Linked DNA regions of Bombyx mori. The protein of the gene in region 2 purifies or fractionates together with the protein of the main gene of each other region. This does not show direct contact. Links are inferred from orthologs where the notes say so. Each region holds a gene or a part of one and is shown on either strand. Other genes may lie near its edges.

Region 1 (4,003 bases), on a different chromosome or scaffold from region 2:
CAGTTACCGTGGTAATCACGTACGAGTCAACAAGAGTCGTCGAGAGTCAGTAGGACTATGTTTACGATTAGGAATTTCAAAATTTCCAAAATAATTTAATTGAAAAAAAAAATTTTTTTTTATTGCTTAGATGGGTGGACGAACTCACCATCCACCTAATGTTAAGTGATTATCGGAGCCCATAGATATTTACAACGTAAATGCGCCACCCACCTTGAGATATGAGTTCTAAGGTCTCAGTATAATTACAATGGCTGCCGCACTATACAAACCGAAACGCATTACTGCTTCACGGCAGAAATAGGCAGGGTGGTGGTACCTACCCGTGCGGACTCACAAGAGGTCCTACTACTTACCAGTAAATAGCTCATTATTCAAACCTCACTTGTCTATTACCATAAAAACTATGAAATATTCGGACCCATTGCAAAAATTACCTCACTCAGCTACCTTCGTACCAAAACAAACTAATTCCTTAACGCCAGATTTAAAAAAAACAATTTTCCAAATGGTCTCTCATTTTTCAATTAATTTTCTTCAGTTTGTTTCAAGAGACCACTATAACATGTCCTTCTTCAAACAAGTATTTGAAAAGTGTCCTCAGAAGTACAAGTTACTTTAATTGCACATTTGACATTACAGAATTCTGTGAGCAACACAGTAACCATTTACCATCAGTTGTCCTGTAAGAATGTGCCAATAATGAAAATGGGTAGAAAGAATAAATTAATCTTATATATGAGTCGACTATTATCAAAGCCGGCAATCTGACTTTTGGACAATGATTGGTAAATCAGAAAAACGAATTATTGACTTTGTATTCCATTGGCAGTCACAAAACTCTTCGGAACGACATCTTAGATAAATAACAGGTTAACTATTAACCTTTATTTAATGCAGGTTTTGAACCGTATTCTTTGAAGGAGACGATTATATTCAAATCAATCTGTATTGACATACCAATAAAAATTTTTGTCCAAATGCACAGATTGCCACCTTTGATAATAGACGATTCATATACAGTGTTATAAGTTTATAAACCAACATGCTGGAAATTCCCATGTTATTGACAATATTTATCGATAGTGACACACATTGATAGGGCAATCCTTGTAGTAAACATACACAGAAAGTATATCTTATACATACAAGAAACATGTATATTATGATAGAAATAAACAAGTGGTGGCAATGAGCAGCCTTATCACTTCTATATAATAAGAGATAATTTATATAGGTTAGTAAATATATGTTTCCAAAATAGAACATCAGTTGTTTTCCAGAGAGCATATCGACGCTTGAAAGGCAAACATGACTAAGTGACAATGTGTGAACTGTACAGTAGACTAATTGAAAGTTGGAATACCTGAAAACAAAATTTATTTTAACGAATCTAGCTGTAGTAGAATCTAGCTAGTAGCTGTAGGATTGAAATAGGTTTTAATAGACCTAGAAATATATATTTTGTTATGTACAAATCAGTTATTGTCGCTTAGTCACTTTCGCCTTTCAAGCGTCAATATGTATGTACATTTTTTTTTTTTTCTGGACTATGCAATAATATTGAGATCACAACATGAATGTCCTCGCTCATTAAGTACTTATTTGAATAACGGTAAGCTCTTCATACCATAACAAATGAGTGCTTTGCCAACAAAATTAGTATAATACTGATGTCTAACATCATACACTTAAAGTTATGCAAAATGCCAAATATGATGGAATATTTTAATAGCAGTTATGTATATATGGTGGTTCATGTCCATCTCATGGTATACTCAAGATTGCTTGTTGTAATTAGAAACAGCCATTATACTTTTCAGTTAAGATTTTTTTTTTGTCCAGTGTTATGTACTATTTTGATATACAAAAACACAAACCTTTCTACTTTGTATGTACAGAAAACGAAAAAATCTAAGTCAGGTCATCTAGGTAATTCGTGTTTGATGCTTTGCCTATTTTGATACAAGAACATTATAGGAAACCGTCTTGAAGGTCTACTAGAGAAGCAGCCGGTAGAAAAATGCACCGCTATAGTGAAGTTTTTGGTTACCAATTTAAAAAAAAAATTATATTCTACTACTTACTGACTTCGGTGTAGAAATACTATGATTACTTCTTTCCGTACTTTTATTGCGGAACTTTAACTCGTAATCAATGTTTGATACGTCGAGATTTTATTCTTATATGAATCTCATACTTATTCGCTCTTATTCGTAACGTCGCCCTAGACTAATCAATAATTTTCGTCCTTGGTTTAGGTTTTAGGTTAGAATTTGAATACGTAATGTGAATGCCCTTTTATACTTAAATGTCTGCAGTTCTGAGCGTTTTATTATATGAAAAGGTTACGTAGTTAATTAATAAAAAGCTCATTGAAACAATCATCGTGTTAAGATACGTGGCTCTGTGTGCGTGAATTAGATCATTTAGGTCAAATTCGTGTGCAGAATTTACATATATGAAAAATATTGGCGTTCAGTTACAGTATTTACCTTTTCTAACGTCACACATGGAACATTTGAAAGCTTCCGCGTTATTCCTGTACGTGCAAACACTACAATCCCAGTAGTTTTCTTCCAGCACTTTTGATGGCCTTTTGGCTCTTCTAATGGCATTTTTCTTGTCCATTTTAATGCATACACGCAACTAAACGTAGCTAAGACACGTCTATCATGATATTTTTGATTGAAAACTATTATTTCTAATGCACAATTGTGAATTAATGCGTCGGGAAATCATTATTTTTGTTTTACTGTGCACAAAGATTGTACACTTTTACGCCATGACAGCCGTCAATGTTACGTCGGTTAAACAGCGTGAAGGCGCCACATTCTTCTGAGCTGTTTTAGCTACAAAATAGCAATACTAGATGGCGTTATTCATGAATTAAGATTTATAAATTTTTCTTAGAATAAAATTCAAACATAATAATAAACAGCGAATAAAGTACATAAGTATATTGTTGGTTGGGCTTAATAGAAGACCGAATGCGGATATGGTCATTTTATTATTGGTCCCAAAATTCAAAAGGGCTATTTTGCGGCAAAGACAGGCAGAATGGTGGTGAACTAGTTGATAAAATTAAATAATAACGCAAACGTTACCATAATAATATTATTCTTTCCGTGGATTGTTGAGGCGGGAGGTGGATCTTCTTAGTATAAGGTCTATGAACCTAGTCTTATCTAGTCATTCATTACTTTGGAACCAAAAAGAATTAGCTGATAGCACAAGTCTTTGACCAGCCACAAAAGGGCCGCTACATTAAGTAAAGGTCAAGAACTCCAAACGTTTTAAAATTCGAAATATCTATTCCAAATGACACACCAACACTAAACCACTGAACCCAAATATCAGTCAACAAAATTGTGTACATTTTTAAATAGGTACCGATACTTAAACGCAGAAATTCAATTATGTGTCTTATACTGGTTATTTTAAAGCTTAAAATCGTTTAAACAAAAACTATGAAGCACGGTAAGCCTTTGAGAAATATTTCTATGCCGTTTCTTAGAAAACGACCCCTTTTTTGTGACGGCGATAGAAATAAAATCTCTACCTGAGTTTTACGAAAGAAGTCCTTTCATTTTTTTCTACTTGAAGCGAAATACGCGTGGTTCAAAAATCTTGGATCTTTTCACGAAAATTATCAATTTAAAACGAACGTTTAATTCTAACTTTGAATTTATTGTTTTTTTTTTTTCTAATACGAATCTAATTTCAGCCTGGCTTTCCTTGACCAATAAATATTCCTTTTTACGAAAATTGCGCGGACGGAGGCGTTGAAAATTTCCACACTTAAAGAGAATATAGAGAAGTGCACAATGCTAATATTTTTTTTAAATAATGCATAAAATATACATTAATTAAATCAATAAGGAAAACATTACACACACTACATACCATGTATTTAACGCACACACGCATGCATACTATTTATTATCAAGCTTTTGTTCTTGACGTCTGTTGTCAAATTGAGAATAGATTAAACATTGTTTGT
Region 2 (4,289 bases):
ACAGGTTCCTCAATCTAAAGAAAAGTGCTTAAAGTTCATGGGAATTTTTTATTGCTCTTGGTTGAAAGATAGCCTTATCTACTAGGTAAATACCACCATTTTAACTTTTCGCGAAGCAGTAATGCATTTCGGTTTAAAGGATAGTCTAGCCTATATATTATAATACAATTAAGACTTCGGCAGCATCTTCCAGATGGGTGGCGTATTCAATGTCATATCTATGGCCCCTATAATCACTTAAAATTAGGTGCAACACCACTATCCGTTGGCCTACTAGGTCTATTAAAAATTGAAAACAGGAATTTTATTTTAAATATACCGGCGCAATACAGTCCTGACTTCATGCAAGCAGTTTGTAGTTAAGTTACTGCACAATAACTACAAATTGCAATGTACTACAATTTATTACCTATTCATTGCAATTCTAGCATCAGCCACCAAAGTTTATTATATGTCAAGTTAATTATATTGCACCTATCAAAATCACCAACGAAATATTGCTGTAATACTATGGTTTTCCAAAACTTCGGATTATAATCTAAACCGTCATTAGTTAGAGTTATTACAGTTAGAGTTAGATATGAATAGTTTTCAAACAATCGATAATTAATGACTCAATGCTACATAGGTGTGGCTTAGGTTATCACTTAAATATTACACTTAATACACTTATTTAACAGGAGGTTATCAGATGTGGTAGCATTAAGCGTGATCATAATGATTCTAGACAACAATAAACTTGGTAGATACTATGATTATTGATCGGGGTTATTGGAGAATGTATGTATGTACGTCCTTTTGAAAGAATATTATTGTAAGTATGGGACTCACTTGTTGATATGCTTCACGTTGACCTGGTATAAGATAAGAGACTGGATAATCAAATTTAAATTTGGATACATAGTCTGTGTCTGTAAGTTCAAAAAATAGATTCTTTATTATTTCAATATTAACATGTGTTTAATTAAATTTAATGTTTTAGTACATAATTCGAGGTATCGCATGAATTATGTTTAGATTAATACTGACCATGGGCAGAATGCAACATGTAAAATATCAAATATAAATTTAATTTATACAACCTTTTGCAACTTGCGTACAATGAGGAGGTGTGATGTTTTCCAAATCATTCCCGTGCAATCCAATTACGTATTTTAGTAAAAAAATTACAATGGTTATTTTAAAGAAAACCATTTTTGTTGATACCGAAATTTTTAATAAGATATTTTAAAATTCAATAAAGTGAACAAAGGAACAACAGTAATATACGAGTTATTATTTGACACTGTTGTGTTTAAGTTGAGTGTAGTAATTAGGAATATTGCATCAGCAAATAAATTATAACGGCCACGAGATAAGGAGTTTAAAAAAAGTCTAACGGTATATTACGTAATAATATTTAGCTTGTTGAAGTTTTCCTCATTGTGATTAATCATCATCTGTTTTAGGTTGGCAAAATTATGATTTGACATTAGTTTAATACAAAAAAATATTTTGTTGATTACGTATAACTTCGAAATGTATGCAACGTAAGTATTTTAAAGAACGTTTATAATTTATAATTTTTAGCCGTCGTAGCCTAGAGGATTTGTCATACTGAGTCGTATCAAGAAGTGCGATGCGGGCCTTGAAATGCATCGGGTAGGTATAAGTTTTATACCCAATTTTTTGGTTTCCCGTAGGCAGCGGCTTGCCTCTGCCCCTGGAATTGCTGAAGTTCATGGCCCACAAGGGCAATAAAAAAATTAAAAAAAATTACACCTCGTACCTATCCTGTACATACGAATAATTATTTCGACAGTAAGGAATATGATAAAAATCTACTTTATAGCAACCCTAACGCCTGCCGCGTCTGATCGCGCGCCGCGACCAATCAGGGACTCTCGTTGTCGGCTCCCGGCGCGACTCAACGACCGAAGGGCTTTCCCTTTGGCAAGCCGCGTGCGCCCCTTTTCGGGCGCCGACAGTTCACCCGCAACCACCGAAGCATACACACGAGAACACGTCCGCACCTCGCTCGCTACCATTCCTTTTCGAACTTGTTTGTGGGATCCTCTGGAGTGTTCATACCCAGTGCTCCAGCTGGACAACACAAAACTGGCGCCCCAACGTGGTAAGGTAAATCTAGCGGTGAGTCGACGAATCATATCGGTTTTGCAAATAAAATTGTGAACTCATGATCATGGTGAACACTCGAAGTGATAACCGTGCTAGCCGAAATCGCAGGGATGATGATGCAACGGACCCGTCGTTCGCGTCCCGCGATCGGTCTTCCCGAGCGCGTCCGCCGCCCAAGAAAATGGCGCCGGCGACGCCTCGCGCATAATCTACGAGTCCTTTCGAGAAGCATCTACGAGCGCGTCTCCCGCCTGCGAAATTGGCGCTGCTGACGCCTCGCGCTCCAATCACCACAACCGATCCGGCGATAGCCACGTGGCCCCCGCCGAAGCCACCTTCTCCAGCGAGCACGTGTCAACATTAGTAGAGGCACTACAGCGGAGCCAAACAGAGGTTTTGAAATAATTATTTGAAACGATACGGCACAACACATCAACACCAGTGCCCGCATCACATGCACACGCGAACTTCGCCCGATGTACCGCGCGCTTTAGTGGGGCTGCAGGTGAGTCGCTTGATGCCTTCCTGGATGCGGCCGAGGCGTATCGCGACTGCTCCGACATCTCGGAAGAGAACGCCATCCGGGGATTGTCCGTGCTGTTGTGCGGCGACGCCGCCGTCTGGTGGCTGGGTGTGAAGTCCTCTATAATAATATCTTCGTGGTGCGATGCCGTCTCAGCCCTACGAGATGCTTTCGGTGATCGCAGGCCTCCACACCGTATAAACGCTCAACTGTTCAAACGAGGTCAACAAAACGATGAAAGAACGGACCGTTTCATCGCTGCGACGCGCGCTCTTCTCGCGAAGCTACCTGCCGGCGACCTAAGCGAGAAAGTCCAGCTGGACATGATCTACGGACTCCTCAGCCGCCGCGTACGGGAGAGACTTCGTCGCGACGAAATAAGTTCATTCGACGTGCTTCTGCAAAGAGCGCGCCAAATTGAAGACGCGACGGACGAACTTCGCTAAGAACACGATGCCTCAAGACCGACGGGAGAATTAGCAAGAAAGCCATACGAGTCGACGACCGGCACCGGACGCACCCGCCCTCCGCCAGCAACCGCAGCTCGCACGGCCACGTGCGCTCCGAGCGGCGCCACCCCCGGCCACGAGCCCACGACGCAGCCGCCGCTTGCTCTCGGAACGCCGCGTGTATTTGACTCCGCCGAAAGGAAGCGACGCCCGAAATGTTCGTATTACCATTTCTTCGGTCACGAGAAGAACCAGTGTCGTAAGTTAGATTCAAAACAAGGTGATCAATCTCATACTAACTTATTTCAAAATAAAACTCACTCAAAATCTAGTGAAAGTGAAGTTAAAAGTGATCAGTCATTTTATTGTGTTGATTCAAAAGTGTGTTTTAAATTTGAAAACGACAAATCAGAAAAATACCGTATTCGTAGTTCTAATTTAGTGCATGAAACTTGTATACCTATTTTGCCAAATAGTGATGCATGCACTGATACCTACACACATTATAAACAACGGCGAAATCCACAAAATTATAATTTTGCTGCCCGTAATTCAAATCGTTCGAAGTTTAAGGTTACTGATAACAGTGATAATGCCGATCGATCTCGTATTGATCGCCCAGGTTCTTCTCGAGAAAAGAATCACAATATCACTGCATGCAACACGAAATGTATAACATGTAATCGATCGAGTGACGATCACAAAAATAATAATAGTCCGAGCGAAAACCTTACTCACGTTAGCCCTTCAGCCGCCACAACTAAAAATGTTAACTCTTTGGTTGCCGAACGTAAAAATGCTAATTTTTTTTCAACAAAAATAATAATTTGGATATGTTTTCTAGCGTCGACGGACATCTTTGCCGCAATGCCAATGCAAACTGGCAATGTCAAACATTAACCTGCGCGGTCGCAGAGGATTCAAATTTTGTTCATCAAAGATGTCCGGACGACAGTAATATTTGTATACCATTAGTTGAAAATTATTGTGATAAAAACGGGATAAACCCGAATTTTCCGAAATATGGGAATAAGCGTGATGTAATGGGATTTGATTGTTTTTATGATTGCGGCGGAGATGACGATCTTAGGGGACCCCCTATTGGTCGTGACGTACGGCCGATTTTTAACATAAATATACTGGGTTTTGACGGCACCGCTTTAATAGACACAGCTGCAAAACACTGCATCGCGGGCCAT
Region 3 (4,096 bases), on a different chromosome or scaffold from region 2:
GAGGCCTAAAGGACGAATGTCAAAATCTGATGACATTGACACCGTGTTGAAGTTTATTTACGAGAGGCAGAGGGGAAACTCGGCGGGACATAGCTCATAAAATTAACTAAAGAAAAACTAAGTTTCAAGTTACACACAAAATATATGTATCTAAAATTTGAGAGAAATTAATGTGAGATATTATTTTATTTTCCGGAATTCCTTAAAAATAATTAAAAAGTCGTTTGAATGCTGATAATTAATTTCGTGTGACTCGTTTCAGGCCTAAATGACAAACATGACCCTAAACGCATACTGGGAATAATAACCTATAAGGACTTTAAAAGATTAGATTTTTAATTGTGTCGAATCGGTAGGCGATTCTAAGGCTCACTTGGCACGCGATTATCATCCCTAACGCCCCACGACATAGACAACTCAGTGGATTGTGGAAAATAGTGGAAATATTTTTTTATTTTTTTATATCTTAGATGGGTGGACGAGCTCACAGCCCACCTGGTATCAAGTGGTTACTGGAGCCCATAGACATCCACAACGTAAATGCGCCACCCACCTTGAGATATAAGTTCTAAGGTCTCAAGTATAGTTACAACGGCTACCCCACCCTTCAAACCGAAACGCATTACTACTTCACGGCAGAAATAGGCAGGGTGGTGGTGCCTACCCGCGCGGACTCACAAGAGGTCCTACCACCAGTAATTACACAGATTATAATTTTGCGGGTTTCATTTTTATTACACGATGTTATTCCTTCACCGTGGAAATCAATCGTGAACATTTGTTGAGTACGTATTTCATTAGAAAAATTGGTACCCGCCTGCGGGATTCGAACACCGGTGCATTGCTCAACACGAATGCACCGGACGTCATATCCGTTAGGCCACGACGACTTCAAAAAATATGTCATAGATCTATCTTATTTAAAAAGTGTATTAGAGTCTAACTATCATAGATTTATACACTTAATATATTCGAGATAACTATACTGAGACCTTAGAACCTATATCTCAAGGTGGGTGGCGCATTTACCTTGTATGGGCTCCAGTAACCACTTAACGCCAGGTGAGCTGTGAGCTCATTCCCCCATCTAAGCAATAAATAAAAGAAATAATAATAATTGAACACGCCAACTAACAAGCCGCTGAACGTAACTTCTCGGGATCCTCCAAAAATTTCACTGAAAAAGTCTACAATGAAATGACAACCATTTTAATGAGATTATATATTTTCTTCCTATATCATCTCATCTTAATTGATTTCTTTTTCATTCCATTTCGTTTTCATTTCATTTGATTTCATTTCATGCCATGTTTTATATTAATCAACTTCATTTATATGTAAAATTATAATATGAAATAAAATATTATAATTTTACATATAAAAAAGTTTTCATTACAATTAAAATAAGACTTGACCCGAAGGTCTTGATAACCAGGTCATTAAATACTTTAAAAAAAATATATTTGTTTTGTATCATGTTTGACGTTTGTATCATAGAATAAACACTTATTAATTGTGTTCTAAACAGTTAAATAATAAAATAAAAATAATATACTTTCAAAACAGTAAATACACATTACATGGACAATTAAACAACTATAAATAGTTATGTAATCTCGAAACTCCATTTCCAAAACATAACCTCAAAATGAGCTCGATACAAGAGCGTCTTCAGCTCAAAAGAGTTCCTCTGGACACTTGGAATATACGTGAACAGCTATGCCTGGCCTCCGCCGTGGTCAGAAGCGGGGATCAGAACTGGATGTCGGTTTCCCGCGCTCTAAAGACCCTTGGCGAGCCAAACAGGCCTCCGGACTGGTATTCCCAAAAAAGGTTTTGTTTTTCTTTTATATCTACTATATAATTATTGATACAGGTTTGAAATAGCTTGCGATAGTGAAGTGGTGGCTGAGTTGATGAGAAACACATTCGTTTTTACACATTTATTTTTTATTTTCAAACCATTTTTGCATTATTCACCAATGAAAATTCCACCACGCTTTCCACGTTATTTGAACTCGATAAAACTTAAAATTATATTCAGTAGAGCTATTATAGTATTTAGTAGGCTATAATAGGTCAACACACACTCCTCTCTCTCTCATATCGTCATTCACACACTCCATCCATGTCTTCTTTGGTCAAGTTTTCCCCCTCTACCTTGCACTACAATTTCCATAAATCTCCTAGTCTCATGCATCTCCTCTCTACGCATAACATGTCGATACCACGTGAACTGTCCGCTCTTTAAGTCTTTCCACTCGCTAAAAGACACCCTCTATAACTTTGACAACATTAGGATTGGTTAAACACAGCTCTTATATTATATGGCGGGTGGCCCCAATAATTAAATGTTCAAAAGAAATGTTAATACAACATTTTGACAAAACAATAACACCGAGTTAAACAAAATAAAATGAGATCATTGTCAAAAGCCAATTGAATATTCAATATTATAAATAATTTATAAAAATATATTATCAAATAAACTAAAATAAGTAGCATATATAGCAATAAGTTTGTTCTACACACACTTATCACATTTTATTATTATTCTCATTATCCTCTCGCAGGTCTGCTGGAAGAGATTTCTCAAAGAAATAAGTAGTGCCTTTGTACATAATTTTCCTATTACTCTGTACTGTGTCTTGTTTTCTGTGTGTACATAAATAAATAAATAAAATAAATAATAAAATAGCACTAGCTTTAAAATAAAATCATTTAATGTAATTACACTTTGGAAAGAGTTCTGATATAATGGCATATAAAAAGAGTCTAACTAAGTATGTACCTTCTTTATTTAAAATCTATGAAAAAATTTAAATTTTGCAGATTGCTCCTTAAATCCCCAGTAAATTAATCCTATTCATAAAAAAATTAACAAAATTACAAATAACTTATTTGAAAGACACTAAAGCTCTAATTAATTATATTCATTCTATTATTTTAAATAGTTATATTGTTTATGAGCTTATTCAATCCATATCAAACTGCGTAGATGTCATGTCTTCCTCTGAAGCATTGGATAGCTGAATGATAATGAGATTTAGATCTACAAGAACTGTGGGCTCCGTTATCCGTATGTCATTAACACATTTCCATCCATCAGCTGTGCTGCACAATATGGAACGCTATTAGAACATGTGGAAACGCCGAAACGAAAAAAGAGAAACTCTGACGGTGGCGTGGAAACTCCACAGGAGAGTATATTGAAACGTTTAACCCAAGATCGGATAGCCGAGATCCAGAAGAATATTGCTGAAATGAGTCAACAACATGAAGTAATGAAGGTATTTAATTTTCAAGTGAAACTTCTTTCTTTCTTCTTTATGAGGGTAAAATTTTTACAGAACGTCACGCAGGTATGCAACGGAAGGACATCAAACTACTATTAAAATTAAGTACTTGTCAAATGTCAGTAGTAGTAGTTGTTGTATTTTTCCAACTGGAAAGGCAAATGTATCATATCATACAGCCTAATATTTTATTTTTTTGTGAAAAATGTTAATAGGAATTGAAATGAAATGAAAAGAATTTGGAACATAGCATGAAATTAAATTAGTCAATTCAATTGGCAAAATATTAGTCATCTACAATTTAGAAATCTAAGCATAATGTGAATGTCAACACTGAGGTTTGAGATTGACATTTGACAGACTTTTGGCGGGAACATATCTTCCTTTTTCCCTTCTTCTAAGTCTTGGAAATCTAAAGTTTTAGATTTGCATAAATATAAGTAAGACTTATAAATTAGTTCGCCAAAAAAGTTTCACTTCTGACATGTGTACTTTGTACGCACGCACTTTTTTTTTTTTATAAATCTCAAGCTTTTTATAAAACTTTAAGTGCTGTCAGAGTTGTTAAGTATTGGCTAATATCTGACCATTTAGTGACAGTTCGGTGTCAACATCAACATCAACTTTTAAAAGGTTTTATAGCCTAGTAATGAGAGTTTTAAGTCAAAGTCTTATTTTTACACACCAGTGCATCGCTACATACGAATGCACCGGACCTCTTATCCTTTAGGCCACGACGACTTCACTTTGACTCATAAATATAAGCTAGTAATATATCTTTCTTTACCTTTGTACCACAG
Region 4 (4,278 bases), on a different chromosome or scaffold from region 2:
GTGGATTGGGAGGATCCGAAATTGACGTGTTTGGGGTGACGTCGACTGCTTTTCATTCTTTCCGCAGGATCGGGAATGTAGTTACCGGCGGCCACAATAAGAGGGTTCTCGTGTCGTGCCTCTTTATCGAAGTGGTGACAGACTTCTAAGTACATCGTAATAACGAATGTCGATTCAAAAAATCGAATATAGTCTCTTTAACGATTTACTGGTAGCCACTGTGTAGTCTGTTTTTCGATTGAAATCCATAACTATGTAGTTTAATTTAAGCGGTGCGTAAGCAAATGTTTGTTATGAAGTTTTTTTATTTTTATTTAACTGCCTAAACTTAACTTTAAAGGCAAAGGTATTGGGTGAACAGCCTAAGATAATAACTATCACAGGGATTTAATTTATTTCATTTGATAAACCTAAACCAGTAACGTTAAAAGATTTCCTTAATTTTTAAGGTTCATCCTTAAGTTTTTATTCCGAAACACATTTGTAAATTAAGTGATTACAATTAAGAAACTAATTTATTGAAGAAGCATATTATATTGTTCAGGTTATGGTCAAAATTAAGAATGTTAAGAGTCTCTCAGTTAAGAACAAAAGCAGTCCATCACAAACTAATAAATAGTGAATCATCTTAGTTTGTATACTCATACTCTACTTAGTACTTATACTCTTGCTCTACTTACTCACTTATACTCACTAGTATTTGACCTTTTAACGTGTTTATTATACGTAGGACGATGTTTTACTGATATTAAATAAATTATTCTTAACGTCAAGAATACATACTTATTCGTTTATTATCACGCATTCAAGTTATCCATTGTTGTAAACATTGGAAATACGAAAACTGTTAGCCTTGGAACTTCTTATCGAATCAACATGCCTACTAACAATCACCGCGAGGGCGCGCGCGAAATGCGACGTTGCCAACTTTAATCTACTACGCCTTAAATACGGACACGTATGCCGCCATTTTGTTTTATATTTAAACCTGTGTAATCCAAATTTAAAAGATTATAAGAAACACTATAAAGTTCTCAATTTGCTACTTTCAAACCTTCCTTTCCAATACGAGCACATGGTCCAATATAAATTATTCTGGGATTACGTAATCAACATCATGCCTCATCATGGTGCAATTCGTTTCGTTGTGATGACACATTTTTTGCTTGTCTAGGCATTTATAACCGTAATATAATAAAATATTTAGGAACTTCTTTAAGGCTTGCGCTGTGTATGTATTATCAATATACTGCATGATTGTAGTACAGTCGCTCTGCCCATACGAATCATATGGGTAGTCATACCTAGATACATGAAGCGATGAGTGTCGGCGCAATATGTTTGTAATACGTACTGTGAGCTGGGTGACAGCCCGGGCTGGGTGTGGGGTGCACACCCTGAGGATCCAGGGTAGCATTTATGCCGTCCTGCGACCACACACACCACATTTTTAACGCAAATATCACAGTATTGATCACGCACAGACGCCATTTTGAACCGACACTGAGCTCGGTCGCAGAGGCGACGTTGCCACGTCGCACGCTCCAAGCCGCGCTTCTATTTCAGGCCCTCCCTCCCCTCCCCCACCCCGCAGCGCCGTGACGCTCGAGCTCCAAGCAAGGCTCCACAAAACACTATCTATCTTATAATGTTATCATCATACAGTCCCGCGTATTTTTCTTATTTGAAAACATAATGTAGATCATGTGGTTTTCTGTATATGGAGAGGGAAGGGTGGTGACTGCAATGCATGTAACGTAACAATTCATGAAACGATAAGATATTAGGTATAGTGTTGAAAAGCTGATTTAATGTAGAATTTATACATAAATTGTAAAATGTCGAGCGAACGGCCGGCTTTCACCGAGGCGCGGCCGCGCACGACCGTACCGACATGTGCCATTGGCCACCGCAGAGATCGATAGACAAACAGCGACGAGGACGCCGACCTGCGCTCGACTTTCATGTTACGTGCCAACGGGATAAAGACGAGAATTCCGTAGCTATCTGTATAAACAAACTACACCACGAACACACTGACGTCCTCCACGTAGATACGCACAAACACAGGCGCTGTAAGAACGACGACGCGAGCGAATGGCCCAACCTAATAATGTATATCAATATCATCAATGTATTATGGCGCTTTTCTAGAGTCGAAATTCCTTTACGTTCGCGCATCGAGCGCTCCCTACCGAAGGACAAAGGAGGATTTCACACGGAAAACAAAGGGAAATGCCGGTTACATGATAATAACAAGAACATCTAGATATTTATTTCTGTTATAGTTAGCGCGCTTGATGTTGCCAGGTCGTCTGAAACTGGCCAGCGCGCCATTTACCATTATGAAATTGAGATTTTCTAACTGCACATAACACGTTCAAGTGATAAGAAGAATTCTTTGCAACGTTACATAAATAGAAGTTACATTGGTCTAATTATGCGTGCGGCAAAAGGTTAACGTATGGTATCTGAACAGGTGTGGGCCAATGCGTATAACTAGTCTGCAAAGGGTGCTTTGTAGGTATATTTCTATAAAAGGTGAGATATAAAGCAAAACAAAATAGATAAATGGTATAGACAATTAGCTTTGAATGGCAGACGCAATCTGACAACCAGTCACTCACCTCTTTGGATGCTCGAATTTCTCGGTTTTCTACGAATAAATCACAGGAACGTCACTTCTCGACGTAATAGCAAACGTTTTTAAGGTATCTTTAAGATTTTAAAGAATTTCAAATGCATAGAATAATTTAACATTACGTTGAGCAAACGTCCTACGTCGACAGAGACCGAATGCGAACTGTTGGTTTTTGTTGGTTTGGGTTGGCGGCTGACGCCCGGGGCTAGGACAGAGGGCCGCGGGGAGGACGCAAAACCGGAGAACGGACGATCGAGAACTCAGAAACGTAAACGCGTTATTACTAATGAAAAAAAACGTACACAAAATCAACCAATTCTGTTGTACCATTTAAATTATGTCATTGTCTGAAGAGTTCTATTGTAGGTATATAAGTTTTTGAAAAAATCATTAGTGCAGGTTGTTGCACCCACGCGGACCTGTGCAAAGCGATAGTTTTGTAAATATACGTCTACAATAATATATATTGAGTACTTATATAAACACATATTGTGTATGAATGATATATTTTATGTAGTAGGTAATCGATAGGCAAATTTTTAATTGCCATTTTTTTAAGTATATTGCCGTAGAACGATTACATACCTATACTTTATACCTACTAATATCTACAAAATGTAATAAACTATGTATAGTCTTCAAAATATTGACGCAACGTTAAGCAGCTATTCTGTATGCTTTAATGTTAGGAAATTAATATTTTTACGAAAACTGTAGATTGACACCTTTATCACCAAATATATTGTCATCGTTGATTGTTTTCTTCAATCAATGTTGAAGACAAATTAAGTTCAATAAGGAAAAATTAGAAGATAATGCAGTAAAATATGATAGTCCTTTTCCATAGGCCAACAATACCGAAAATGTTTCATTTGTAATTGATTGCTTAATAGTTTCATCGACCAATACGGACGGTCTGATTTTTTTCTACTGGCCAATAATATTAAAGATCGTGTAATTGTCAAAAAAAAGATTAATTTTAACACACGTCTGTAATTTTCATCGCATTTATCGTTAATTCGTCGCAATTTAAAGAAGAATTCAAGAACTTTTAATACAAAAATGAGATTGAATAGTTTAATTTTTGCATTTGTGATTTTATTCAGTGTTGTTTCAGCAAGAATCGACCCTAAAAACTTAAAATGTTTGGGTGTGTACTACGTGTTTTCTGTTTTTTTTAATTATTTTGTTAATATGATAATTTAATATTTATTTGATATAAATTATATAATTTTTCTAGTTTGTCGGACGACGTTTGAGGAGCTTCACCAGGTGATAAAAAGCATAGATAAATGGAAAAGAGTCGATGTGAGTAATTTTAAACTTTAAAATAAAAATATAAAAAATCTGCATCTAAAACTTTTCTTTTACATTTTTCAAGATTGATTTAATTTGTTAAACATTTAAAAATTTTTGCTTGTATGTTTTCAAATAATCTTATACAAATTTAACATGAATCTTTCCTTTAGCATCTAAAATATGAGAAAAACTTAAGCACGACAGTTAAAATTATTACGAAAAAAATAATTTAATTATAACTTGTTTCTACTATATTTCACTATAACTATATTTCAAGTAAATGTTGACAGTCACACTAAAATAGTCATAACTTTCTCCAGTACAAAGTGTGGTTTCAA
Region 5 (3,500 bases), on a different chromosome or scaffold from region 2:
ACTTCCTACCACCAGTAAAAAAATTATGAAGCTCATAGATGGATACTCTTGCTCGAGCCAGACTCGGGCAAGGTAGGGGAGATTCCGATGGTAACTTAACCCAGCATGGTTCTATTGCTGACCAATGAACGTTCTGCTGTTCATCTGAAACCTCATGTAGATTTTATTTTTTTATTGCTTAGATGGGAGGACGAGTTCACAGCCCACCTGGTGTTAGGTGGTTATTGGAACCGATAGACATCTACAGCGTAAATGCGCCACCCACCTTGAGATATAAGTTCTGAAGTCTCAAGTATAGTTACGGCCGCCCTACTCTTCAAACCGAAACGCATTACTGCTTCACGGCAGAAATAGACGGTAGAAGTAGATAAGTAGTTGGGTTCGCGTGGTGCTGTCCACGGGCCCTATCGAAACTTTCTTATTTCAAACTCACCAGGCTCACATGCTGGACATTGAGTGCTTCTCGTTCCTCAATCGCGCGCTGGAATCGGAAACCGCTCCCATCGTGATCATGGCGACGAATCGAGGGATCACCCGGATACGGGGTACCACTTACCGCAGCCCGCACGGCATACCGCTGGACCTGCTCGACCGGATGATCATCGTGGCCACCTCGCCGTACTCCCAGAGTGAGCTCAAGGACATACTCAATATACGGTGAGTTCTATATATTTTTTATTGCTTAAATGGGTGGACGAGCACACAGCCCACCTGGTATTAGGTAGTTACTGGAGCCCATAGACATCTACAATGTAAATGCGTCACCCACCTTTGAGATATAAGTTCTGAGGTCTCAGTATAGTTACAACGGCTGCCCAGGCCTTCAAACCGAAACGCATTACTGCTTCACGGTAGAAATAGGTAGGACGGTGGTACCTGCATAATATATGTGTAACTATGTTTCTTTGAGTATTGTATGGTGGTAGAACCTCTTGTGAGTCAGCACAGGTAGGCAATTAACACCAGGTGGGCTGTGAGCTCGTCCACACATCTAAGCAATAAAAAAAAACTATACATATTATATTAACACTTTATAGTGTGTATTTATTATTGAGTTTATTTGTATATTTCAATGCACCTACCATTAATTAATCTACACAACTTTTGGTTGACTGGTAGATAAAGCCTTAGGTATTAAGTCCAGTAATATAGATGAATACATGAAGTGTAAAAAAGATAAAATGTTTTATCGATTAGGTTACCTCTGTAATTGCTTCTACATCTCTAGTTTTTCCCTTGACAGTTGCGAAGAAGAGGACTGTCAGATGTCAGCCGACGCTTTGACAGTTCTGACGCGGGTCGCCACGGAAACGTCATTGCGTTATGCCATACAGCTGATCACTACGGCTTCGCTCGTCGCCAAGAGACGGAAGGCGGCTGAGGTTAGAACCGGTTCTTGAGGCATCCGAGGTTACGGATACGTAGGGGGGGGGGGGGCATTAGACAGAAATTAGTAATACAAGTGATTTTATGTGTGTGTGTGTACGTGTTGTGTATGTTCATATAAAACTAACCCTCAGGCATAGCCCGCTGAGTTTCTCGCCGGATTATCTCAGTGTGTCGCGTTTCCGATCCGGTGGTAGATTCTGCGAAGCACGGCTCTTACTAGGATTCGTGTTAGCAACGTCGTCAGGTTTGAGGCCCGTGAGCTCACCTACTAGTTAAGGCTACGCTGAAATAGCCTCTCAAGGCTCTCAGCTAGGTAGGATAAAAAAGAAACTCGATAAAGGTTAGTCAAATTGATATGTTACTTTATACATATTTAAAGGACGACATGACCGGTCCGACAGACATAGTTACGTTAGTGGCGGATAGATGGCGCTGTCCGTTTTGATTTTTATCTTTTGAACCTTTTTTGAACGGTTTGAACCTTTAAGCCGAATTGGTTTGAAATTTTGATATGTATGGTAGAAGCGTAGCGCACCGGGCACCAGTTAATGTATATAAAAGTTGATGTGTGGATGTCGTCCGGAGAAACGGATAGTCAGATTTCGATGAAATATTTCGGATTAGTGCAATAATTCAGTAAAGCTACCAAGCTTCAGCGATCAGATCAAGATCTTATGTTTGAATTACAAGTATATTTTAGGTTTGTTTGTTATTACCTGCCCAAATTTAAAAGCAATTTATCTTGTTTATCGCTATTGTTGTTAGTTAGTATTATTAACGCAGTCGTGTTTTTAAATTAATTCTAAAGTAATGTTATACTTACATTCTAATGTTGAAGGATGTATTGTATTGTTCCTAAATACCAGGTCAGTATGGAAGACGTGAAAAAGGTCTACTCGCTGTTCTTGGACGAGCATCGTTCCGAGCAGTTTTTGAAGGAGTACCAGGACGAGTTTATGTTTAACGATGGTTCCGGCGGTACGTGTTTGAAATTCTACTAAAAACTCGGAAAACGAAAATTGTGTTGTTCCATTAATTACCCGATTTTTCGGGGAAACTTTTATTTTCCCAAAAAAATGGCAGACTGGTTTCTGTCTTGGAGTTCGTTTGCCCATTTACTAGAAAAAAATCTTATTCGGACTATTACAAACATAATAAGAAGGAGCTAAATCTATTGTAAATCAATATTTTATATATATCCACCAAATGCCTATATATAGTGTTTTAGTAAATTAGTCATATAGCCAGAAAAAAATATGATAACTTTGAGAGACTCACAGTGGCGGGCAAGGTGGATGGGAAATGATCCAGGTTTCGGAGCCTGAAAATTTGAGTTATCAGAATTAAATGTCGTACAATCTGGATACGATACGACATACTTCACTATCCCAACATAAGTAGCTACAGATCACAAGAATATGCCGTGTGCTAGCGCATCACAATGCATAGTAGTAAGCGACCGATTCGAGAAGGAGGTAGTTTTTTAATACATAGGAATCTTTGGTTGGCAACACTGTGTATGAAAATTTGTCAAAAGACTTTTTTCTCGACTGTGACCTAAAAACAAATACTTAAAAATAGTAATACATGACAATGCAAACTAATTAAATTTGTTTTCAGATGCATCGCAAGTGATGATGGAAGTATCTCAGTAAAAGAATGAAAACATCTTTCTACAAATGACACTGTTCAGTTTTACTTTGCGTAAAATTTATTATTTCTATGAAGCACTGAGGTTTTTACCTAAACCTACTATTGGTTGGTCGAGAAATATTTTTATACCATAAACTCATGTTTCTTTAAGTCTTGCAATACAACGTTCTTCATTGCTTCCACAACTACATTGAAGAGAAAATAATCTACATCATTTCTGTGGTAGGGTTCTGTATTGCCAAACTTAAAAAAAGTTGCTTGACAAAAAAAGTAATGTTTTAAATAATATGAAAGCAACTACACCATAAAGAATGGTTAGAATTTTGACCTACGATACAGATAATAATATGTTTCAAGAGCAAATATGGCTTTAAAACGATTTGTTAGTTTTTTAATTTGATAATAAAGAAATACAAGTGTATATTTGTGTTTTATTTCTCGAAAAAATGATAAAGAAA
Region 6 (3,500 bases), on a different chromosome or scaffold from region 2:
TGTGCATCCGGTGCACACTAATTATTGGGAGGGACTGACCGATCAGATCCTCCTTTACGTAGTCTATGTCGAGTTCCTTGGGGACTCCACGTATCACTACGCGGAGTTCGCGGTCCTCCTGAAGAGCATAGGTGTGATAACCTATGTTCTCCTTTCGGAGGTAAGCAGAGAGGGCCCTATGGTCGCCCGGCGTTGCGACCTTAATCTGAATCCCATGCGCGACGTTACGCGCATGGGTATAATTAATTTTGTTGGCCTGAAGGGCCTGGGATACGCGATTCCACGCTGACTTCTCCTGGAGTATCAGCGGGGGCGGGACAACTGTTTTAGGCGCGGGCGCGGTTTTTGGGCGCGGCGGTGGGATTACGCGGCGGGCGGAGTCCGACTCCGGCGTTACGACTACCTGCGGTCGGGAGGCGGTCGCGGACTTGGTTTGCTTCGTCATGGAGCTCCGGGACTCCACGACGCGAGTACGCTTTTTACCGCGCGTTACAGTTTGGAACCCATCCGAGGTTCCGGGTTGAGGGCTAGTCGCGGACTCGAAGTCCATCTCCGATTCGGTATCGGAGCCTGAACTAGACGCTATTGAGGTCGCGACGGACGAAACTGACGTGATTGACGCGGGCGCGGGGGTAGCGGGGGCGGGGGCGTTAGACGCTACGGCGGCGGCGTGCGTACGTGCGCTTGAACACGGACCGGCGGCGGGGCACGCGAGGCATGCCTGCGAGGCATGTTTGGCGACGGCGGCGAGAGATGCGGGGGGAGAATAATTACCAAATGAGGCCCTATAGGCTTCGAATTCGGGCGCGATTGACGGGTATTTTTCCCGAATGAAGTCGATGAAAAGTTTTTCCTCCATCTTTACGTGATTTTCGCCCGGGGGGGGCGGCCCCGGGACTTAAACACGCGCTCGCCTTGCGGCGAGGCCCCTGCGTCGGTAACACTAAATTGGCCGAAGCGATTCTAGGAATTTTAGAATTTTAGTGAATAGAATAAATAGAATAGAATTAGAGTGAATAGAACCACTGCACAGTTCCCGGGCGGCAATGCCTTGCAATTAGGCGCAGGTACAAATTCCGAGAAACACTTGGGCCACAGATGTGCCACGAACAATGATCTATTATCACCGGTAGTCACTTCCGACAAAACAATGAGCACGTCCACGCGCGTCGGTTGCTCAAATCGGAATCGCATTGAAAAAGATGAACCCAGTTGAGACTATTTTTAGATAATTTATCATAATGCTTATTGATTTTAAACTAAATTGGTTAAATTGAGGGACAGCACTTTGTACTGTAAAATTAATAAATATTTACAGTAAAATCAACAGAGAAAACACCAGGAAGGAAACTTGTCTCGGTTTTATTTGTTTTTGTTCTAAAATCCACAATGTCTGCCAATTCGGTCGGCTGGTCTACCAGGGTCGCATGGTGTGGGTGGAAGTTCTTTTGAATGTCAGTCTGCGTCGGCGGGGCGGAGGGGCGCGGAGGTGATTGCACGTGCCAGAGACGCGCCATGCGCTCGACGCCCCCCGCACTTGTTGAGCGCCTCGCCACAGACCTCGCTTCACATCACCCGCTCGCCGCTCTCCAAACTAGTTTCCTTACACACGCAGTCTCATTATTGTCAGCAAATATACGGTCACTAAGAGACTCGTTCCACAGAATACTTATTAATTTCGCTTATCAATGATGCCGCTGCACAAGAAAAATATCGATATTTTTTGTTACAATGTAATTGTTAATAATCGATTCAACCTAACCAATTTTAATTTCAAGGGATAATTACGATTTGTTTTCGACGAATGACTGTACATTAAATTAGTAGGGTTTCACCGAATTTAGTTACTACTCTTTTCTGTAGATGTATGTCACGGATGGATTGCGCAAACGCTCTGCAATACGTCACTCGCTTCGTAATGAAAAGCCAAATCGGTCGTAATTTTTGTATTAAATTGAAAGAAGACTTTTTTAGGCGACATTTTCTGATCAACAGATCGCAAACGCATTCGCTCAACAAATTTATATTTTTTTATAGTACAGCCAACATTTCGATTATGATATAGTGAGGGGTTCAACAAGAACTCTGTGTAGTTAAGTGACAAAGACAGTGTGTGAGAACTATGAGGACCCATAAGCGCAGCTAACGATCGGTTGCCCATCGTAGAATGGGTATACTCATGGAGACGACGGAAGTGAACCTGGGCAGCGGGTACAAGCGAGCGCGCGAAGTCAGCACCATGGGGGCACCCGGCGAATACTACGCGGACACGTTCCACACCATCGCCATCAATACCAGGGAGACAGAGTTCGGAAGCATTGTCGAACCAATTCCGATCATGCTCAAAGCCTACAAGTACGCTCCACACGGCCACCCGGCTAATGGTTACGGTTCCCCGCAAACGACAGCTCCTATTAACCCTGTCCCCCGGCTACTCCCGGAGGCACCACCAACATCGGCCTTCGCCCCGATTATTTACAAAAAGGAAGAGATGAAAACAGAGAAGGTTCGACCTCCACCAAAAAAGAAATGGATTAGAGAATATTTAGGTAAGTTTGGATACCTGGTATAATCGTTCGTAATTTGATAAAGTTGTACACGACGACGCATGCTAGACGCTAGATTTGTCGGCCTCTGTCTGACCTCGGCGTCATGATTTCGTTCATCGCCGACCAAGAACACGTCTGTCGCGGACCTGTCACGACAGAACCTTTATTTACAAGTGTTATCATAATGTTAACGGATAATTGTACACGGTACTCACTAATAAAGGCTTATCATCTATCGTATTACGGGTGCTTAACTTCAAATTACTAACTAAATTGAAAGCTGCGCTGTATTCTATGTATAACAGAAATAACAGAACTACCCTTAGACTTAATGTAAAATACAGGTCATTACCGATGTCATAGGTATATTTATATGTATTTATTTTTGGAGTTTACTCCTTTAGAATCGATTTACATATATAGGCCCGGGGTATGAAAATTATGGGGACCAAAATCGTACTAGCATGTCACACGAAATGCGTTATGCGCCTGATTGCGCATGTCACACGAAATGCGTTATCGCAGGTGACGCCGGGCTGCTGCGCCGGCAGTCCGCCACAAAGCCTCGTACTGATCGCGCGTTTCTCTCATTATTGTATTTTCATATATTTGTTAGTCGTTTGTTTTGTGTCTCGTTAATTTGTTAATAATCTGTAGTGTATCGTGTTGTCGTAATATAGAACTATTTCTCGTATTGTTTCGTTTAATTTTTTATATCCAGTAAACTCCAGTCGTGCGTCGGAGCGGACACACACACTTTTTTTCTTAATTATTTAATGTGCCTAAAGATTTGATCTATTTTGATACATCACTCTTTTATGGCAACATATCTTTCGTATGTTTTTCCAGAATTTGCCTAGATGAATACGGTGGCTTAGAAAAGACCGCCTTGTATAATTTATAACTGCCTGTTGAGTGATTTTCAATGTTAATTATTCTTTGGTGTGCAAT
Region 7 (3,935 bases), on a different chromosome or scaffold from region 2:
TCTCCTGGCTGAACCTTTGCTCGCCCACGTGTCCTGGTGAAACTGGATAGACTTCCAACAGCTATTTCTCAAACATAAAAAAACGATTTTTGTTATTGGTGTCTATGGAGCGAGGAGTTAATGGAGCGAAAAGTCTATCTATAACTTATCCAAAGTTGCTCTCGACAACATCTTCAGAACAAAATAAAATAAAATTTGCTTCTAACACATGTTCATAAGCAACTTCTGCGTTAAAAGAATGACAACGTGTAAAAAATTAAATGGAACCCGCGAAAAGTTTACAAATGTAATTATTTCCTCTAGCGGGGTTCACCACAGACTGCTAGACAAAATTATTAGGGTTTTAATACTGCCTAGTAGAAAGCCTAGACTTTCTCCACGTGCCCATGTCGCCAATGACAACATCTATAAGCCATTCGAGACACTCTGATCTTCGATCACGCGATTGAAGGGTTCCATTACTCTATGGCTTAATTTCTATCTTATTCGTGTGTATTAAGATTTTTTGAGAATCAAATAAGATTTGATTCTCAAAAAATCATGTAATCCAGTTTTAGCGCACGAGGAAATTAACAAAACCTGCTTTTACTCAACAACCCAACGGCGCATCTCTTCTCGGTGCCTCACATCACGGCTCATCAGTTTGACGTTTGTCAAGACGACCAGCGGTTCTCTAATCCCTCCCGCTTGGATAGGGCCGTTAATACTCCCGAGATACTCCGCTAGGTCAAAACCAGCAAAACAGAATCACTTCTTTTACACAATGAGTAGTTCAACCTTTTGAGCCGAATGCGATACAAATGATCCAAAGCAAAGTAAGGAATTAGTGAATTGATATAATTTCATTTCGTTCCATTACACTTTTTACATTGCTATTATATATTTGTGTTCCGGTAACTATTTGAGACAAGGTAAGCTGTGACTCACGAGCACATTCGCCCATATATGCATTACGAAATAGCTAAAAAAACATATCAATGATTGGTATCTGCAGATTTACGTAAGCGCTAAATAATACATAATCGGTAGACGCTTGAACTCTCAATATTTATTACATTTCAATTTTCGTTACCTACTAGACTAATCACTTATGAATAATATTCCCTTTGCCTATTTAATGTCAGATTGACTGCAATCTGATTACTTTGATATTGACAGCAATGACAGCTAAGCATTCAAAGCAAATAGCTATTTTTGTGAAAAAATAATATTATTATTTTAAAATGAACGAAAATGATGATGAATTGACAACATTTTGTGATTCAACGGTGATTTCCGCTTATTTAGAATATATATGTGATATAATACCGTGAGATTAATTTATCATCTTTTTGTTTTAGTCATCGCTTGTTGAGGGATGCCGTCTTCCTGTTCGTATGCAAGGAGGAGACGACTGGCCACTCGCCGAAATTATAAGTATTAAAGAAGTTCAGGGCCAAAGAGGATTTTACGTGCATTATGTTGATTGTGAGTAAATAATGAACGGGTATGTTTGTTATTCATTTTGGAAAAATTGTGTGTAACATTGATAAGAAATTGACTGTGATGCTAGATTAGCAGCTAATTACCTATATCTATAAGCTTTAGTTTTGTTATATATATGGGAAATTTCTAAAATAAAGCTACTTACCTATGTTGAGACATTTTATAAATTTATAACTAATGTGAGCTTGTTATCATATGTGTAATTGATAAACAATCTAGTAGATTGAACTTAAAGGATACTTAAAAATGTTCTACAAAGGCACATGTCTAATTGAGATCTTAATTTAAAAAACCAAAGGGTGGTAAATGGACTAAAATCCAATTTAGTAGCAGAAAAAGCAAAGAACACTTGTGATAGGGTGTCTTGTAAGCTTGCATACGTATGTACTAACAGAATAAAAAGATTTTCTCCTGTTTTTCATGAAGTGCTTAATTTTTTTGAAATTAGACTTAAACATAAAAAATTTTTCAGTTAATAAACGTCTCGATGAATGGGTGGGTGAATCTTGGTTGGACACTCGTAAAGTCCAATTCCCTCGACGGGATGGAACAGCAACAGGTGGTACAACTACTCCAAAGAAAACACTCATTGGATCAGGAGGTGGCGTTATGCCTACTTTTATTAGTATGTGTCTTTGTTTTTAGAGCTTAATTAATTGTTATGGTCATTTCACTTAATTTTAAACAATTCAAAGTTCAACTTCACAGATAAAGAATGGGATTTGGTAATAAATTGCATGATTTATATTACTCTACTATTACTCTCTACTATTACTTGCTATTTTTCCTCCACCCGACAGTTCATGTTGGACTGGATAAAAGCAGTAAAACAAATAGAGTCCAAACTTTAATGTGTTATAATTCTAGCTTTAGTTGATGTTGTCTTGAATGCTATAATTAATATAGTAGAATATATTTGTACTTTTATTTTGTTACTGTATGATTCTTTGTTTTGCCCAGTACAATGTCTCGTGCCAAGTGTAGGTTAGTTTGTGTTACCAAACATCCATGATCAACCAATTGGCAATAAAAACAAAATTTTGTCTGCAGATGACACAGTCTGCAATGAGAATCAGAAGTCTAGTAATGCTAGAACTATAACAAATCAACTGACCCAACCCAAAACACATGAAAAGGCCCATTTTAGCAATGCACTCAATGGTTCCGCACAAAAAAATGCACTTGGTAATGTACCATAATAATTTATTTTGTGTAATATGCTTTTATTTAGGTAGATATGTCATGCTTTTATTCTTAAAACAATAAATTTATTTTTTGTACTTTTAAACAGTAGCAGTAGTAGCTACTGGTATGTATAATGTGAGCATCATTGATGTTATTCCAAATGATTGTTTAGTTACCAACATATTATTCAACATGTCAACAGCTTAGTAGCCATCAAGTTGTAAGCTTAGAAATAATAATAGTTTCTTGTTCCCTTATAAGCACGTTTGAAGCTCAGTTGTGAGAACCAGTAATACCATAGTCCATATATTGAATATGAATATTTTCTGTCATGGTAATATTTGATTAACATATAATGATCATGTTAGTAATTATTACCAATTAATGTGACAACTAAGCAATTTAGTATTTTCTTCGGTTTTCGCCAGTCGTAAATATAATTAAGGCTACTTTTATACCTTAATGTCTTAACTGTGTATGACGAGTCATCCGTGACATAGAAAACAGTAAATTATTCATAACTACAGTAAAAAACGACAGATTATACTTTAAAAATAGCAATTATAATGAAGCAATTGTTTAATTTTGGCGTTTATTTATTGAAAGAAATATTGTAATTCTATTGACGTGAAGCCCTATTAATGTGAAATGCTGCAGTATTGTGTCAAATCACTCTTAATTTAAAATACTACATTCCCGGTTTTCTGCACAGCTGTGGTTGAACCAAGACAGTTGGTGTCCCGACCCGCCAGTCCGACTCTGGTAAATGATTCTTCGTCACTGGTCAATGGAGGAGCTGTCCTCGCAGCAGCCTTACAGAAAAAGATGAACAGAAAACGCAAACCGCCCTCTTTGGATAATGACGTAAAATATCAATATTAATATTTTTTATTTATTTATTGCTTAGATGGGTGGACGAGCTCACAGCCCACCTGGTGTTAAGTGGTTACTGAAGCCAATAGACATCTACAACGTAAATGCGCCACCCACCTTGAAATATAAGTTCTAAGATCTCAGTATAGTTACAATGGCTGCACCACCCTACAAATTATAATTTTGCGGGTTTCACTTTTATTACACGATGTTATTCCTCCATCGTGGAAGTCAATCGTGAACATTTGTTGAGTACGAATTATCATCAGAAAAATTGGTACCCGCCTGCGGGATTCGAACACAGGTGCATCGCTCAACACGAATGCACCGGACGTCTTATAACCTTTAGGCCACGACGACTTCTTTGTCTATGTCTAGTCGTTGTAGGTCTT

The links.
Region 1: the proteins of protein max (region 2) and Rybp purify together in Homo sapiens (affinity purification with mass spectrometry; 3 studies listed by BioGRID and IntAct, with this or other methods). This does not show direct contact. The link is inferred for Bombyx mori from reciprocal best matches to the Homo sapiens genes MAX and YAF2.
Region 3: the proteins of protein max (region 2) and bromodomain-containing protein 8 purify together in Homo sapiens (affinity purification with mass spectrometry; 3 studies listed by BioGRID, with this or other methods). This does not show direct contact. The link is inferred for Bombyx mori from reciprocal best matches to the Homo sapiens genes MAX and BRD8.
Region 4: the proteins of protein max (region 2) and paired amphipathic helix protein Sin3a purify together in Homo sapiens (affinity purification with mass spectrometry; 3 studies listed by BioGRID and IntAct, with this or other methods). This does not show direct contact. The link is inferred for Bombyx mori from reciprocal best matches to the Homo sapiens genes MAX and SIN3A.
Region 5: the proteins of protein max (region 2) and ruvB-like 2 purify together in Homo sapiens (affinity purification with mass spectrometry; 3 studies listed by BioGRID and IntAct, with this or other methods). This does not show direct contact. The link is inferred for Bombyx mori from reciprocal best matches to the Homo sapiens genes MAX and RUVBL2.
Region 6: the proteins of protein max (region 2) and max-binding protein MNT purify together in Homo sapiens (affinity purification with mass spectrometry; 7 studies listed by BioGRID and IntAct, with this or other methods). This does not show direct contact. The link is inferred for Bombyx mori from reciprocal best matches to the Homo sapiens genes MAX and MNT.
Region 7: the proteins of protein max (region 2) and histone acetyltransferase Tip60 purify together in Homo sapiens (affinity purification with mass spectrometry; 3 studies listed by BioGRID and IntAct, with this or other methods). This does not show direct contact. The link is inferred for Bombyx mori from reciprocal best matches to the Homo sapiens genes MAX and KAT5.

Annotation. Positions count from the first base shown.
Region 1 is NC_085134.1:5,459,482-5,463,484, forward strand, and holds the start of Rybp (ring and YY1 binding protein), read right to left. Parts: upstream 2,801-4,003; 5' UTR 2,632-2,800; coding exon 2,496-2,631; intron 1-2,495. UniProt on the Homo sapiens protein: Binds to MYC and inhibits MYC-mediated transactivation. Also binds to MYCN and enhances MYCN-dependent transcriptional activation. Increases calpain 2-mediated proteolysis of YY1 in vitro.
Region 2 is NC_085131.1:6,419,340-6,423,628, forward strand, and holds the start of protein max, read left to right. Parts: upstream 1-1,489; 5' UTR 1,490-4,289. Other genes in the region: uncharacterized protein LOC101745073, read right to left, coding at 832-911, 1,083-1,194. UniProt on the Homo sapiens protein: Transcription regulator. Forms a sequence-specific DNA-binding protein complex with MYC or MAD which recognizes the core sequence 5'-CAC[GA]TG-3'. The MYC:MAX complex is a transcriptional activator, whereas the MAD:MAX complex is a repressor.
Region 3 is NC_085117.1:1,939,524-1,943,619, reverse strand, and holds the start of bromodomain-containing protein 8, read left to right. Parts: upstream 1-1,296; 5' UTR 1,297-1,648; coding exon 1,649-1,833; intron 1,834-3,109; coding exon 3,110-3,290; intron 3,291-4,096. Other genes in the region: uncharacterized protein LOC101740762, read left to right, coding at 1-100. UniProt on the Homo sapiens protein: May act as a coactivator during transcriptional activation by hormone-activated nuclear receptors (NR). Isoform 2 stimulates transcriptional activation by AR/DHTR, ESR1/NR3A1, RXRA/NR2B1 and THRB/ERBA2.
Region 4 is NC_085108.1:991,196-995,473, reverse strand, and holds the start of paired amphipathic helix protein Sin3a, read right to left. Parts: upstream 2,801-4,278; 5' UTR 2,628-2,800; intron 1,541-2,627; exon of another isoform or gene 1,355-1,540; intron 1-1,354. Other genes in the region: protein seele, read left to right, coding at 3,704-3,791, 3,882-3,949. UniProt on the Homo sapiens protein: Acts as a transcriptional repressor. Corepressor for REST. Interacts with MXI1 to repress MYC responsive genes and antagonize MYC oncogenic activities. Also interacts with MXD1-MAX heterodimers to repress transcription by tethering SIN3A to DNA.
Region 5 is NC_085117.1:3,017,033-3,020,532, forward strand, and holds the end of ruvB-like 2, read left to right. Parts: intron 1-436; coding exon 437-657; intron 658-1,243; coding exon 1,244-1,382; intron 1,383-2,255; coding exon 2,256-2,367; intron 2,368-3,009; coding exon 3,010-3,044; 3' UTR 3,045-3,463; downstream 3,464-3,500. UniProt on the Homo sapiens protein: Possesses single-stranded DNA-stimulated ATPase and ATP-dependent DNA helicase (5' to 3') activity; hexamerization is thought to be critical for ATP hydrolysis and adjacent subunits in the ring-like structure contribute to the ATPase activity.
Region 6 is NC_085122.1:12,291,062-12,294,561, forward strand, and holds part of max-binding protein MNT, read left to right. Parts: intron 1-1,346; exon of another isoform or gene 1,347-1,602; intron 1,603-1,974; exon of another isoform or gene 1,975-2,037; 5' UTR 2,038-2,167; coding exon 2,168-2,549; intron 2,550-2,563; exon of another isoform or gene 2,564-2,695; intron 2,696-3,500. UniProt on the Homo sapiens protein: Binds DNA as a heterodimer with MAX and represses transcription. Binds to the canonical E box sequence 5'-CACGTG-3' and, with higher affinity, to 5'-CACGCG-3'.
Region 7 is NC_085124.1:9,217,630-9,221,564, forward strand, and holds the start of histone acetyltransferase Tip60, read left to right. Parts: upstream 1-1,135; 5' UTR 1,136-1,223; coding exon 1,224-1,268; intron 1,269-1,340; coding exon 1,341-1,467; intron 1,468-1,957; coding exon 1,958-2,110; intron 2,111-2,535; coding exon 2,536-2,670; intron 2,671-3,382; coding exon 3,383-3,534; intron 3,535-3,935. UniProt on the Homo sapiens protein: Catalytic subunit of the NuA4 histone acetyltransferase complex, a multiprotein complex involved in transcriptional activation of select genes principally by acetylation of nucleosomal histones H2A and H4.